Oryctolagus cuniculus: one gene and its partners. The protein of the gene in region 1 interacts with the protein of each later gene in a biochemical or structural test. Links are inferred from orthologs where the notes say so. Each region holds a gene or a part of one and is shown in the gene's direction. Other genes may lie near its edges.

The links.
Region 2: the proteins of STUB1 (region 1) and JOSD2 form a complex in vitro, tested with the Homo sapiens proteins (2 studies listed by BioGRID, with this or other methods). The link is inferred for Oryctolagus cuniculus from reciprocal best matches to the Homo sapiens genes STUB1 and JOSD2.
Region 3: the proteins of STUB1 (region 1) and HSP90AA1 form a complex in vitro, tested with the Homo sapiens proteins (14 studies listed by BioGRID and IntAct, with this or other methods). The link is inferred for Oryctolagus cuniculus from reciprocal best matches to the Homo sapiens genes STUB1 and HSP90AA1.

Annotation. Positions count from the first base shown.
Region 1 is NC_091450.1:34,026,425-34,029,631, reverse strand, and holds STUB1 (E3 ubiquitin-protein ligase CHIP), read left to right. Parts: upstream 1-1,106; coding exon 1,107-1,262; intron 1,263-1,429; coding exon 1,430-1,628; intron 1,629-1,703; coding exon 1,704-1,869; exon of another isoform or gene 1,870-1,953; coding exon 1,954-2,041; exon of another isoform or gene 2,042-2,163; coding exon 2,164-2,406; exon of another isoform or gene 2,407-2,476; coding exon 2,477-2,602; 3' UTR 2,603-2,673; downstream 2,674-3,207. Other genes in the region: RHBDL1 (rhomboid-related protein 1), read left to right, coding at 1-41, 113-767; JMJD8 (jmjC domain-containing protein 8), read right to left, coding at 2,677-2,757, 2,834-2,968, 3,042-3,109, 3,181-3,207. UniProt on the Homo sapiens protein: E3 ubiquitin-protein ligase which targets misfolded chaperone substrates towards proteasomal degradation.
Region 2 is NC_091449.1:7,410,249-7,413,987, forward strand, and holds the start of JOSD2 (josephin-2), read left to right. Parts: upstream 1-1,366; 5' UTR 1,367-1,736; intron 1,737-1,949; 5' UTR 1,950-2,166; coding exon 2,167-2,312; intron 2,313-3,224; coding exon 3,225-3,350; intron 3,351-3,626; coding exon 3,627-3,739. Other genes in the region: ASPDH (aspartate dehydrogenase domain-containing protein), read left to right, coding at 86-235, 316-539, 613-767, 1,068-1,111. UniProt on the Homo sapiens protein: Cleaves 'Lys-63'-linked poly-ubiquitin chains, and with lesser efficiency 'Lys-48'-linked poly-ubiquitin chains (in vitro). May act as a deubiquitinating enzyme.
Region 3 is NC_091451.1:45,356,646-45,360,384, reverse strand, and holds the start of HSP90AA1 (heat shock protein HSP 90-alpha), read left to right. Parts: upstream 1-1,107; 5' UTR 1,108-1,352; intron 1,353-1,816; coding exon 1,817-1,978; intron 1,979-2,068; coding exon 2,069-2,435; intron 2,436-2,626; coding exon 2,627-3,075; intron 3,076-3,163; coding exon 3,164-3,329; intron 3,330-3,460; coding exon 3,461-3,651; intron 3,652-3,739. UniProt on the Homo sapiens protein: Molecular chaperone that promotes the maturation, structural maintenance and proper regulation of specific target proteins involved for instance in cell cycle control and signal transduction.

The DNA of each region.
Region 1 (3,207 bases):
TCCCTACAAGCTGCTGCGGATGGTGCTGGCCCTGGTGTGCAGTGAGTAGGGGCGGGGCGGGCGGGGCGGGCCCGCGGGCGGGGCGCCGCCCACCTGCCGCCTCCCTCCGCAGTGAGCTCGGAGGTGGGCCGCGCCGTGTGGCTGCGCTTCTCGCCGCCGCTGCCCGCCTCGGGCCCGCAGCCCAGCTTCATGGCGCACCTGGCGGGCGCCGTGGTGGGCGTGAGCATGGGCCTCACCATCCTACGCAGCTACGAGGAGCGCCTGCGGGACCAGTGCGGCTGGTGGGTGGTCCTGCTGGCCTACGGCACCTTCCTGCTCTTCGCCGTCTTCTGGAACGTCTTTGCCTACGACCTGCTGGGCGCCCACGTCCCCCCGCCGCCCTGACCGCCTCCTGGGCACAGGGGAGGCCCTGCCCCCGCCCCGCCCCCGGGTCCGCGGTCCGCGCCTTTTGCAGAGTGAATAAATATTTTACACGGCACCAGGTGGCTGTCCGGGGTCTGGAGGCGTCTCTGCCCCCCGCTTCCCGCGGACCGTGCGGGGCCCTCCCATCTACGAAGGGACTGGGCTGCGGCCCCAGGGGACAGGCGGTGGGTGTCCTGGCCCACGAGTTCGGCCTGCACGCCGTGGGGGAGGGGGCCAGGCTGGGGCCGGTCAGGCACGGTGTCCCACCGCCCATGCCGAGGGGGCGGCGCCGGCGGGGTCGCTCCCACCTGTGCGGACGCTGCCTCACGGGCCGCACAGGGTGCCCGGGCGGCTGCGGCAGCTGAGGCCGTACTCAGCTGCGGGTCAGGGCGTCCTGGGTCGTCTCCGCCGGCGGGGCCCGCCCCCGGGGGCCCGCACGCGCTGCACGCCTCGGCCTCCCGCTGCCCCCATGCCGGGGGCGGGGCGTGCGCGGAGGGGCGGAGCCCGGCCGCAGGGAGGCGGTCCTTCGGAGGCTCCGCGCGGCGGGCCCCGCCCCCACCCCGCCGCAGCGCGCACGCGCGACCCCGCCCCCCGCGGCCGGAAGTTCCGGTGGCGGCGATCCGGGCCGGGCCGAGCGGGGCGCGGGCTGCGGGCGGCCGGGCGCGGAGCCCGCGAGCGGAGCCCAGGCCGTGCCGCGCGGCGCCATGAAGGGCAAGGAGGAGAAGGAGGGCGGCGCGCGGCTGGGCGGCGGCGGCAGCCCCGAGAAGAGCCCGAGCGCGCAGGAGCTCAAGGAGCAGGGCAACCGGCTCTTCGTGGGCCGCAAGTACCCGGAGGCGGCGGCCTGCTACGGCCGCGCCATCGTGAGTGCGCCGCGCCGGGGGCGGGCCTGGCGCCGGGGCGCGGCCCTTCGGGGCCCCCCGGCTTGGGGCGTTTGACTCGGCCCCGGCGGCGGCGGCCGCCCGGGTGCGGGTGCGGTGCGGGTGCGGCCCGCGCGCACGCCCACAGCGCGGCCGCCCGCTCTCCCCAGACGCGCAACCCGCTGGTGGCGGTGTACTACACCAACCGCGCCCTGTGCTACCTGAAGATGCAGCAGCACGAGCAGGCGCTGGCCGACTGCCGGCGCGCGCTGGAGCTGGACGGCCAGTCGGTGAAGGCGCACTTCTTCCTGGGCCAGTGCCAGCTGGAGCTGGAGAGCTACGACGAGGCCATCGCCAACCTGCAGCGAGGTGGGCGCGCGGCGCGGGGCGCGCGGCGCGGCTGCGGGCGGCCGGCCGGGCTGACCGCGCGCCCCGCGCCCGCAGCCTACAGCCTGGCCAAGGAGCAGCGGCTCAACTTCGGCGACGACATCCCCAGCGCGCTGCGCATCGCCAAGAAGAAGCGCTGGAACAGCCTGGAGGAGCGGCGCATCCACCAGGAGAGCGAGCTGCACGCCTACCTCGCCAGGCTCATCGCGGCCGAGCGCGAGAGGTGGGCCCCTCCGCGCGTTTATTGACAGCGGGGCGGGGCGGGGCGGGGCGGGGCGGGTCCTGACGCGCGGCCGCTCGCCCGCAGGGAGCTGGAGGAGTGCCAGCGGAGCCACGAGGGGGACGAGGACGACGGCCACGTCCGCGCCCAGCAGGCCTGCATTGAGGCCAAGCACGTGAGGGCGGCCCGGCCGGCGGGCGCGGGCCCCGGGGGCGGCGGGGGCGGCGGGGGCAGGCGGCGCTGGGCCGGGGGAGGGCCGTGTGCGGCCCCGGGGCAGCGCCCCCTCGCTTCTTCCAGGACAAGTACTTGGCGGACATGGACGAGCTCTTCTCGCAAGTGGACGAGAAGAGAAAGGTGAGCCTTGTCGGCGGGGCCCGTGGGCAGGTGCCGGCCGCCCGCCCACTGAGCGCGCCCTGTGTGCAGAGGCGCGACGTCCCCGACTATCTGTGCGGCAAGATCAGCTTCGAGCTGATGCGGGAGCCCTGCATCACCCCCAGCGGCATCACCTACGACCGCAAGGACATCGAGGAGCACCTGCAGGTGGGTGCGGCCGCGGCGGCCCGGCCGGGCGCCCCGCCCCGCCGCGCCGCTGACCCCGCTGTCCCCGCAGCGCGTGGGCCACTTTGACCCCGTGACCCGGAGCCCCCTGACCCAGGAGCAGCTCATCCCCAACCTGGCCATGAAGGAGGTCATCGACGCGTTCATCTCGGAGAACGGCTGGGTGGAGGACTACTGAGCCCCTGCAAGGCCCGCCCCCGCCCCCGCCCCGGCGCCGCCCCTGTCCTGCAATAAAGTCCGTGAGCACGAGCGCTAGCCCAGGAAGGTGGAGATGAACACGCACGTGTCCAGGTTGAGCGTGGCGTGCCACCAGCGGGCCGGGAAGTACAGCACCTGCGGGAGGGGCGCGGGCGTCAGCGGGGGGCCTCGCCTCCCCCGCCCCGGCCCCGGCCCCGGCCCCGGCCCGGACCTCGCCCGCGGAGATGGTGCACTCGAGCGGCCGCGCGGCCGGGGCCAGGCCTGGGTACGTGTCCCGGAGCCAGGCCAGCGTGGTCTCGTTGGGGTGGAACTGCGGCGTCTTCTCGGGCGGGTACAGGAACCAGCGCTGGGGGAGGGGAAGCGCACGCTCACCCCGGGTCCGCGGGTCCGCGCGCCCAGCCCCTGCCCACGGCACTGACCTTGCGGCCGTAGATGACCTCCGAATACCCGGGCCCGTGCCAGTGGAAGGGCACCCCGGTGCCCGCGCCTGTGGGTTTGGCGGGTGAGCAAAAAACCACACCCCCCTGCCCTGCCCCCGTCCCCGGCTCCCGGGAGCACCTGCCACGCCGAAGCTGTGCGCGGGCG
Region 2 (3,739 bases), on another chromosome or scaffold:
TCGGCCCGGAACCTGGCAGCCCTTCCTGTCTCGGTCCCATCGTGCGTCCCTGACCCCACCCCTCCCTGCCTCCACCCACGGCCAGGTGGGGTCACCCTCGGCGCTGGCTGACCCGACCACCGAGCGGCAGCTCCGGGAGGCCTCGCAGCGCTGGAACCACGCTGTGTTTGTGGCTCGAGGGGCCCTGTGGGGCGCTGAGGACATCATGAGGTTGGACGCGGCCGGAGGCCTCCAGGTGAGGGACCCGCTGGGCTCCCCGGGGCCGGAGGGGGCCTGCAGGACCCCAGCCCCTCTGACCTCGGCCCCCGCTCCCAGAGCCTCCGCGTCACTATGGCCACGCACCCGGATGGCTTCCGGCTCGAGGGACCCCTGGCTGCCGCAGCCCACAGCACTGGGCCTCGCACGGTCCTCTACGAAGGCCCCGTCCGTGGACTCTGCCCCTTTGCCCCGCGTAACTCCAACACCATGGCGGCCGCTGCGCTGGCTGCCCCCAGCCTGGGTTTCGACGGCGTGATCGGGGTGCTGGTGGCCGATCTCAGGTGAGCGGAGCTGAGCGGGGAGGGGTCGCGCGGGCTGCAGGCCCCCACACTGACCCCCCCCCGCCTCCTGCAGCCTCGCGGACATGCACGTCGTGGACGTGGAGCTGCGCGGACCCCCGGGGCCCACGGGCCGGCGCTTTGCCGTGCACACCCACAGAGAGAACCCTGCAGAGCCGGGCGCCGTCACGGGCTCGGCCACCGTCGCGGCTTTCTGGCGCAGCCTCCTGGGTGCGGCCGGCCCCTGGAGCGGGGTCCCGAGATCCGGGGGCCGGGGGTCTGGGGGCGGGGTCCGGGGGGCGGGACCGGGGTCTGGGGGCGGGGCCCGGGGATCCAGGGGGCGGGGTCCGGGGGTCCGGGGGCAGGGGCCCGGGGCCAGGGTCTGGGGGGCGGAGGGCCGGGGGACCGGAGGCCGGGGGGCCTGGGTCCGCCTGGCCCGACGTCCATTACTTCCGAGCCCCCCAGCCTTCTCGCTCCGCGACTGCCCCGTGCCCCCGCGGGGGTCCGGCTCAGCTCCTGTCTCCCCCGCAGGCTGCCGCCAGCTGCCCCCCGGGCCCGGAATCCACCTCTGCTGAGAAGCCTCCGCCCACCCGGCCGGCCCCTCGGTGGGCGGACCCTCCCCGCCCCCGCCCTCCCCGGCCGGCCCCTCGGCGGGCGGACCCTCCCCGCCTCCGCCCCACCCCCGGCCAGGCCCCGGCCCCCCTTTCCCGGGATGTCCCTCCAGTCTCAGTAAAGACCCGAGGCTCCTCCCCCACCATCCCGGCCTTCTTTCCCTTCCGTGACGTCACGCCGCGTCCGCACTCCGCGTGTGACGCCACTGCAATGGGCGGGCACAGGCCCGGAAGCTATCGCGAGAACCTACCCGCTGCGTTTCCCAGGAGCTTCCGAGCGGCCGTGGGCGCGGTCGCAGCCAGGGGGCGGGCGCGGGGCGCATTTCCGGGATTTGCACCCCCTCCTCCCCCGACCCACGGAAGTTATAGTCGCGCGCCCTGGAGGGGCGACGGCGGACTTCCGGGTTAAGCGGCCCTGCCCGCTGGGGCCGCCGGGAGTTGTAGTCCACTTTGCTGGTGTCGCTGGGAGCTGTAGTCCGTCCCGCCTGCCCCGTCAGCGCGGAACTGCTCGTGCCGCGCTCGGAGCCCAGCGCCGCCGTCCGAGGGGATGCGGGAGCCCCCGGCTCCGGGGAGCAGAGAGGCCGACGGGGTGAGGGGCGTCGCCAGGCGCAGGGGACCTGGGCACCGCGCTGCTTTTCCTGTTGTCCGGGGAGGGGGCTGGTTGCCAGGGGAAGGCGGGCTCTGGTGTTGCTAGGCGACCGGTAGAGACCCCTCCCCCGTCACCCAGAGGCAGGGGAGGAGACTTCCGGTTTCGCTGGGTAATCAGAGACTTTGTTGTCGGGGGGGGGTCCTCCGTTGCTAGGTAACCAGCGGGGGTCCCGTTGCCCAGGGCCGCGGAGGGCTGCGTCTCCGTCGCCAGCCCCGGATGCCAGGGAGCCTTGTCCCTGGAGAGCCAGGGCGCGGGGGTCCCGTGTCGTCCCCGGCTGCCCAGGCCCTGCCCTCCATGGAGGAAGCCGCCCCCAGGCCCTGGGCCCCTGAGCGGCCTCTGCGCCCCCTCCGCAGGAGGAGCCCAGGACGGCATGTCCCAGGCCCCGGGAGCTCGGCCGCGCCCGCCCTCCGTGTACCACGAGCGGCAGCGCCTGGAGCTGTGCGCCGTGCACGCCCTCAACAACGTCCTGCAGCAGCGGCTCTTCAGCCAGGAGGCTGCCGACGACATCTGTAAGAGGTGACCGCCACCGCCCGGCCCGCCGCCTCCTACCTGGGCCTCCGCCGGTGCAGCCTCCACACAACCCCGGAGCCAGCCTGCTGCCCGTCCCCCTGGCGCCCCGGGCCCTGGGCCTCCCGCACTGTGCTGCCCCCGGGCCTTTGCACGGGCAGTTAGTTCTCTCTGCCGGGCGTGGCTGCCCTCACCGGCCCAGACTTCAGACTTCACGCCTGCATCGCGTCTGCACTGCCTGCTGTCCCTCCCAGCCACCGGCTCAGGCCTGGCCCTGGTCCACCGGCCTCCCCCTGACCCCACCCGTGCACCCCAGAAGTGGCCCTGCCTGTCTCTCCCCACTGCCCGCCTTGCGCCGCTGACCCACAGCCCCCGAGGGATCTGTGCGGGAGGTGGGGGCGGGAGGTGGGCTGTCCCCTCCCACCTGCCCCCCAGGGCCTGCTGGGGACAAAGCTGGATGAGGCTGGGCCCAGAGACATGGGGTGGGGGTGCAGGGTGGCCCTGGGCCTGGAGCATAGGCTGGGAGGTGGAGCCAGCAGGGAGCAGACCACGCAGGGCTGTGGGCGCTGGGCGAGCAGGAGGGACGGGGTCGATGGGGGGGCGGGGCGGGGGCAGGGTCCTCCCAGAGACAAGTGGGGCCAGTGGCGGCCATCCAGGCGGTCCCAGGCACTGAAGGGCCGGGCCTGGGGGTCAGCGGGCATCTCCAGGGAGGCGACGCCTTGGGTGGGCTTGCAGGACAGAGGAGGGGGATGGTGATGGCGAGAGGGGCCGAGGGGCTCTGTGCAGGGCAGGGTCGGGGTTCAGAGGTGCAGGTCTTGGGGGGCATTGAAGACAAGGATGAGTCGAGGACGAGGGGCCCTTCCTGCGGTGTGGGAAGAGAGGGGGTCCCCGCCTCCACCCCGACTCTCGCCCGCCCCCCAGGCTGGCCCCAGACTCCCGGCTGAACCCACACCGCAGCTTCCTGGGCACCGGCAGCTATGACGTCAACGTCATCATGGCCGCCCTGCAGGGCCTGGGCCTGGCCGCCGTGTGGTGGGACAGGAGGAGGTAGGGCCCCGGGCGCCGCGTGGCCACGGGGTGAGCTAGAGGGCCCACTCACGGGCAGTCTGGGCAGGAGCAGGTGGGCTGGCGGCAGTGGGGAGGACACGGGTGGGTGGGTGGGTGAGGGAGGAGCGGGGGGGGCAGGGGGGGTGGAGGGAGGTGCGGATGGGCGGCGGCTGTGCTGGAGACTGGACAGGCCTGGATCTGGTGGGCGGGCGAGGGAGGGGGTGGGGGCGGGCGGCAGGGCCGGCGACCGAGTCCCCTCGTCCCCTCCGCCCGCAGGCCGCTGTCCCAGCTGGCCCTGCCTCAGGTGCTGGGGCTGATCCTGAACCTGCCCTCCCCCGTCTCGCTGGGGCTGCTGTCCCTGCCGCTGCGCCGGCGGCACTGGGTGGCCC
Region 3 (3,739 bases), on another chromosome or scaffold:
TGCGACGCTCTGCACGCTGTGGGCTGCGCTCACGCTCCCAAGCGCTCTCCAACCTTCTCCTGGAAGAGCGGGTTTTCCTAGAGACCACGAGGGAGCGGAGCGGTCAGGTGCCTTTAGGTTGGGAGCGTCCAGCTGTTCCAGAGGGCCAGGCCCGTCGAGGGAGGAAGTGGGCCAACAAAGGGAGAGCTGGACACAAAGGCTCCGAGGGCCGGCGCGCTGAGCCGCGGCGTCCTTCCAGGGCAGACCCCGACGCTGACAGTGAGGACCCTACAGCCTGGATGTGGCTCTTATTTTTTTTCTTTTTTAACATTTATTTGAAAGGTAGGGTGAGAGAGGTCTTCCACCCGGAAGTTCACTCCCCAGATGGCCAGGCTGCAGCGTGAGCCAGGGACTCCACGCGGTCTCCCACGTGGGGAGGGCCCGGCCGCCGCCGCCCCCGCCCCGGGCTCCGAGCGCCCCAGTCCCACTTAGACCTGGCCTGGGGCGGCCCCCGGGGCTCCGGCGCTGCACGCCGCTGCTTCTCCGGAAGCGAAAGGCTACGGGTTTCCCGGAACCCCGGCGGCGGCGGCGGCCGGGCGAGCGTGGTTCAGCACCTGGGCACGGGGAGGCCGTGGCATCGGGGAGCCGGCCCGGGGGGCTTCCGCGGCCCTCGCCCTCCTCACGCCCGGCCTCGGGCCGCACCTCTGCGGAAGCCCAGGCGCCGGAACGCAGCCCTCGACCCGTAACCGCCGCCGCAGGCCCGCAGCACGACTCCAAAACCCAGTCCCCAGACACAGCGGACGACCCGGCCCGGCGACCGAAAGCTGGCAAGGCCTGCACCCCAGGCCGCTGCACCTTGCGCGGGCGACTCGTTGGGAGCGGCCCCGAGCTGTCATAACCCACGGGCCATTTTTTGCACATTTCACACTACAAGGGCAGGGACCTCAGGGCTCGACGCCCCCTCCCCCGCCCCGGCTCGCCCGGCGCCGCGAGGACGCATGCGCACGCGCCCGCGCTCGCGCCCGCGCTTGGCGGGCTTAGGAGCCCGGAAGGCGCCGAGCCCGCGCAGGCGCACAGGGGCCGGCGCGAGGGCGCGCGGCGGCGCGGGCGGGCGGGGGGCGCCCGCCGTTCCCTGCGCGGGGTCGTGCGCGAGCCCGGGGCAGGGGCGGGCCACAGCCAGGGCGCAGGCGCAGGCGCGTGGCCGCGGTGGCGGTTGGGGAGGGTTCTTCCGGAAGGTTCGGGAGGCTTCTCGAAAAGGCGCCGCGCGCTGGGCGGGCCCGCCTCTATATAAGGGCGGCGCGGGGGCGGCGCGCCAGTTGCTCCAGCGTCCCGGTGCTGCTGCGTCGCGGAGGCCGTGCGGTTCTTCAGCCAAGGTGAGGGGGCTGCGGGGGGTCTCAGGCCCGGGGGTGTGCGGGGGCGGCGGCGGGGAGCGGGGGCGGCCGGGGGCCCCCTCGGCCGCGGTGCCCGAGCGGCCGCGGTTCGGCCTCCGCGGCCGGGGCCTGTGGAGCCGCCTCCGGCGGGCCGGGGGCGCCGCGAATGTTCTGGAGAGGCCGCGGGGCGGGGGCGGGGCGGGGGCGCCGGTGCGGGGCTGCGGGGGGTGGCGCCCAGCCCCCGGCCGTGCCGTGCCGGCCGCCATGGCGGGGCCGCGGCCCGCGGAGGGCGGCCGGCGGCGGCGCGGGGCGAGCGGGGCCCGGCCGCGGCGTCCGCCCCGCAGCGCGCACGCTCCCGCGCCTGCCGCAGCTCGAAATGAGGTCATCCCTTTGTGAGGCGCCCGCGCCGGCCTCGGGGCGGGCGGCGGGGGCCGTGCGGCGCCTGATGGGCCTCGTGCCCTTGGCAGATGCCCGAGGAGACCCAGACCCAAGACCAGCCGATGGAGGAGGAGGAGGTGGAGACGTTCGCCTTCCAGGCGGAAATCGCCCAGTTGATGTCCCTCATCATCAACACTTTCTACTCGAACAAAGAGATCTTCCTGCGGGAGCTGATCTCAAACTCGTCGGATGTAAGTGGCGGCGGGGAGGAAGGGGCCCTGGCCTCGGGGGGCGGGGGTGGGAGGGCGCCGGCTGGGTGCTGAGGACTTGGGGTCTTCCAGGCTCTGGACAAGATCCGCTATGAAAGCCTAACCGACCCCAGCAAGCTGGACTCGGGCAAGGAGCTGCACATCAACCTGATTCCCAACAAGCAAGACCGAACCCTGACCATCGTGGACACGGGCATCGGCATGACCAAGGCCGACCTGATCAACAACCTGGGCACCATCGCCAAGTCCGGCACCAAGGCCTTCATGGAGGCGCTGCAGGCTGGCGCCGACATCTCCATGATTGGCCAGTTCGGGGTCGGCTTCTACTCGGCGTACCTGGTGGCTGAGAAGGTGACGGTGATCACCAAGCACAACGACGACGAGCAGTACGCCTGGGAGTCCTCGGCGGGGGGCTCGTTCACTGTGCGGACCGACGCAGGTAGGGGGAGGGGCGCTGGGCGTGCTGGCGAGGGGGCCGGGGCTGGCGGGGCCGGCCTCGCGGGGTTCCGCCGCCGCGTTCGCCCGGGCCGGCCTGGCCTCGCGGGGTTCCGCCGCCTCGTTGGCCCGGGCCGTGCTGGCCTCGCGGGGTTCCGCCGCCCCGTGCGACCCGGCGCGCTGGCTTCCCCGCAGGTGAGCCCATGGGGCGCGGCACGAAGGTGGTGCTGCACCTGAAGGAGGACCAGACGGAGTACCTGGAGGAGCGGCGCATCAAGGAGATCGTGAAGAAGCACTCGCAGTTCATCGGCTACCCCATCACGCTGTTCGTGGAGAAGGAGCGCGACAAGGAGGTGAGTGACGACGAGGCCGAGGAGAAGGAGGACAAGGACAAGGAGGAGGAGGACAAGCAGCCCGACGACAAGCCGGAGATCGAGGACGTGGGCTCGGACGAGGAGGAGGAGGAGAAGAAGGACGGCGACAAGAAGAAGAAGAAGAAGATCAAGGAGAAGTACATCGACCAGGAGGAGCTCAACAAGACGAAGCCCATCTGGACCAGGAACCCCGACGACATCACCAACGAGGAGTACGGGGAGTTCTACAAGAGCCTGACCAACGACTGGGAGGACCACCTGGCCGTGAAGGTGAGCGCCCCGCGCCCGGAGGGTGGCAGCCCGGCCCCGGCGCCGTCGCGGTGGTGGTGGTTGGCACCGGGCCTGTGTGTCGTTGCAGCACTTCTCGGTTGAGGGGCAGCTGGAGTTCAGAGCGCTGCTCTTCGTCCCGAGACGAGCCCCGTTTGACCTGTTTGAAAACCGGAAGAAGAAGAACAACATCAAGTTGTACGTTCGCAGAGTCTTCATCATGGACAACTGTGAGGAGCTGATCCCTGAGTACCTGAGTGAGTAGGAGCGGGAGTGAGCCCAGTGTCGCTGGTGATGCCACCATGTCTCGTCCGTCTGCTGGGGGGGGGGGGGGCGGGGTGTGTGTGTGTGTGTGCTTAGACTGAGGGCGCGGTCTCCGCTACCTCAGATTTCATCAGAGGGGTGGTGGACTCGGAGGACCTCCCGCTGAACATCTCCCGGGAGATGCTGCAGCAGAGCAAGATCCTGAAAGTTATCAGGAAGAACTTGGTCAAAAAGTGTCTGGAGCTCTTCACGGAACTGGCAGAAGACAAAGAGAATTACAAGAAGTTTTATGAGCAGTTCTCCAAAAATATAAAGGTGGGTGCAGACACACCGACGGCTGCCAGCTGGGTCCACACTGCCCCGCGGGGAGTGGTGAACCGAAGCCGTTCTCACAGGCGGGCTC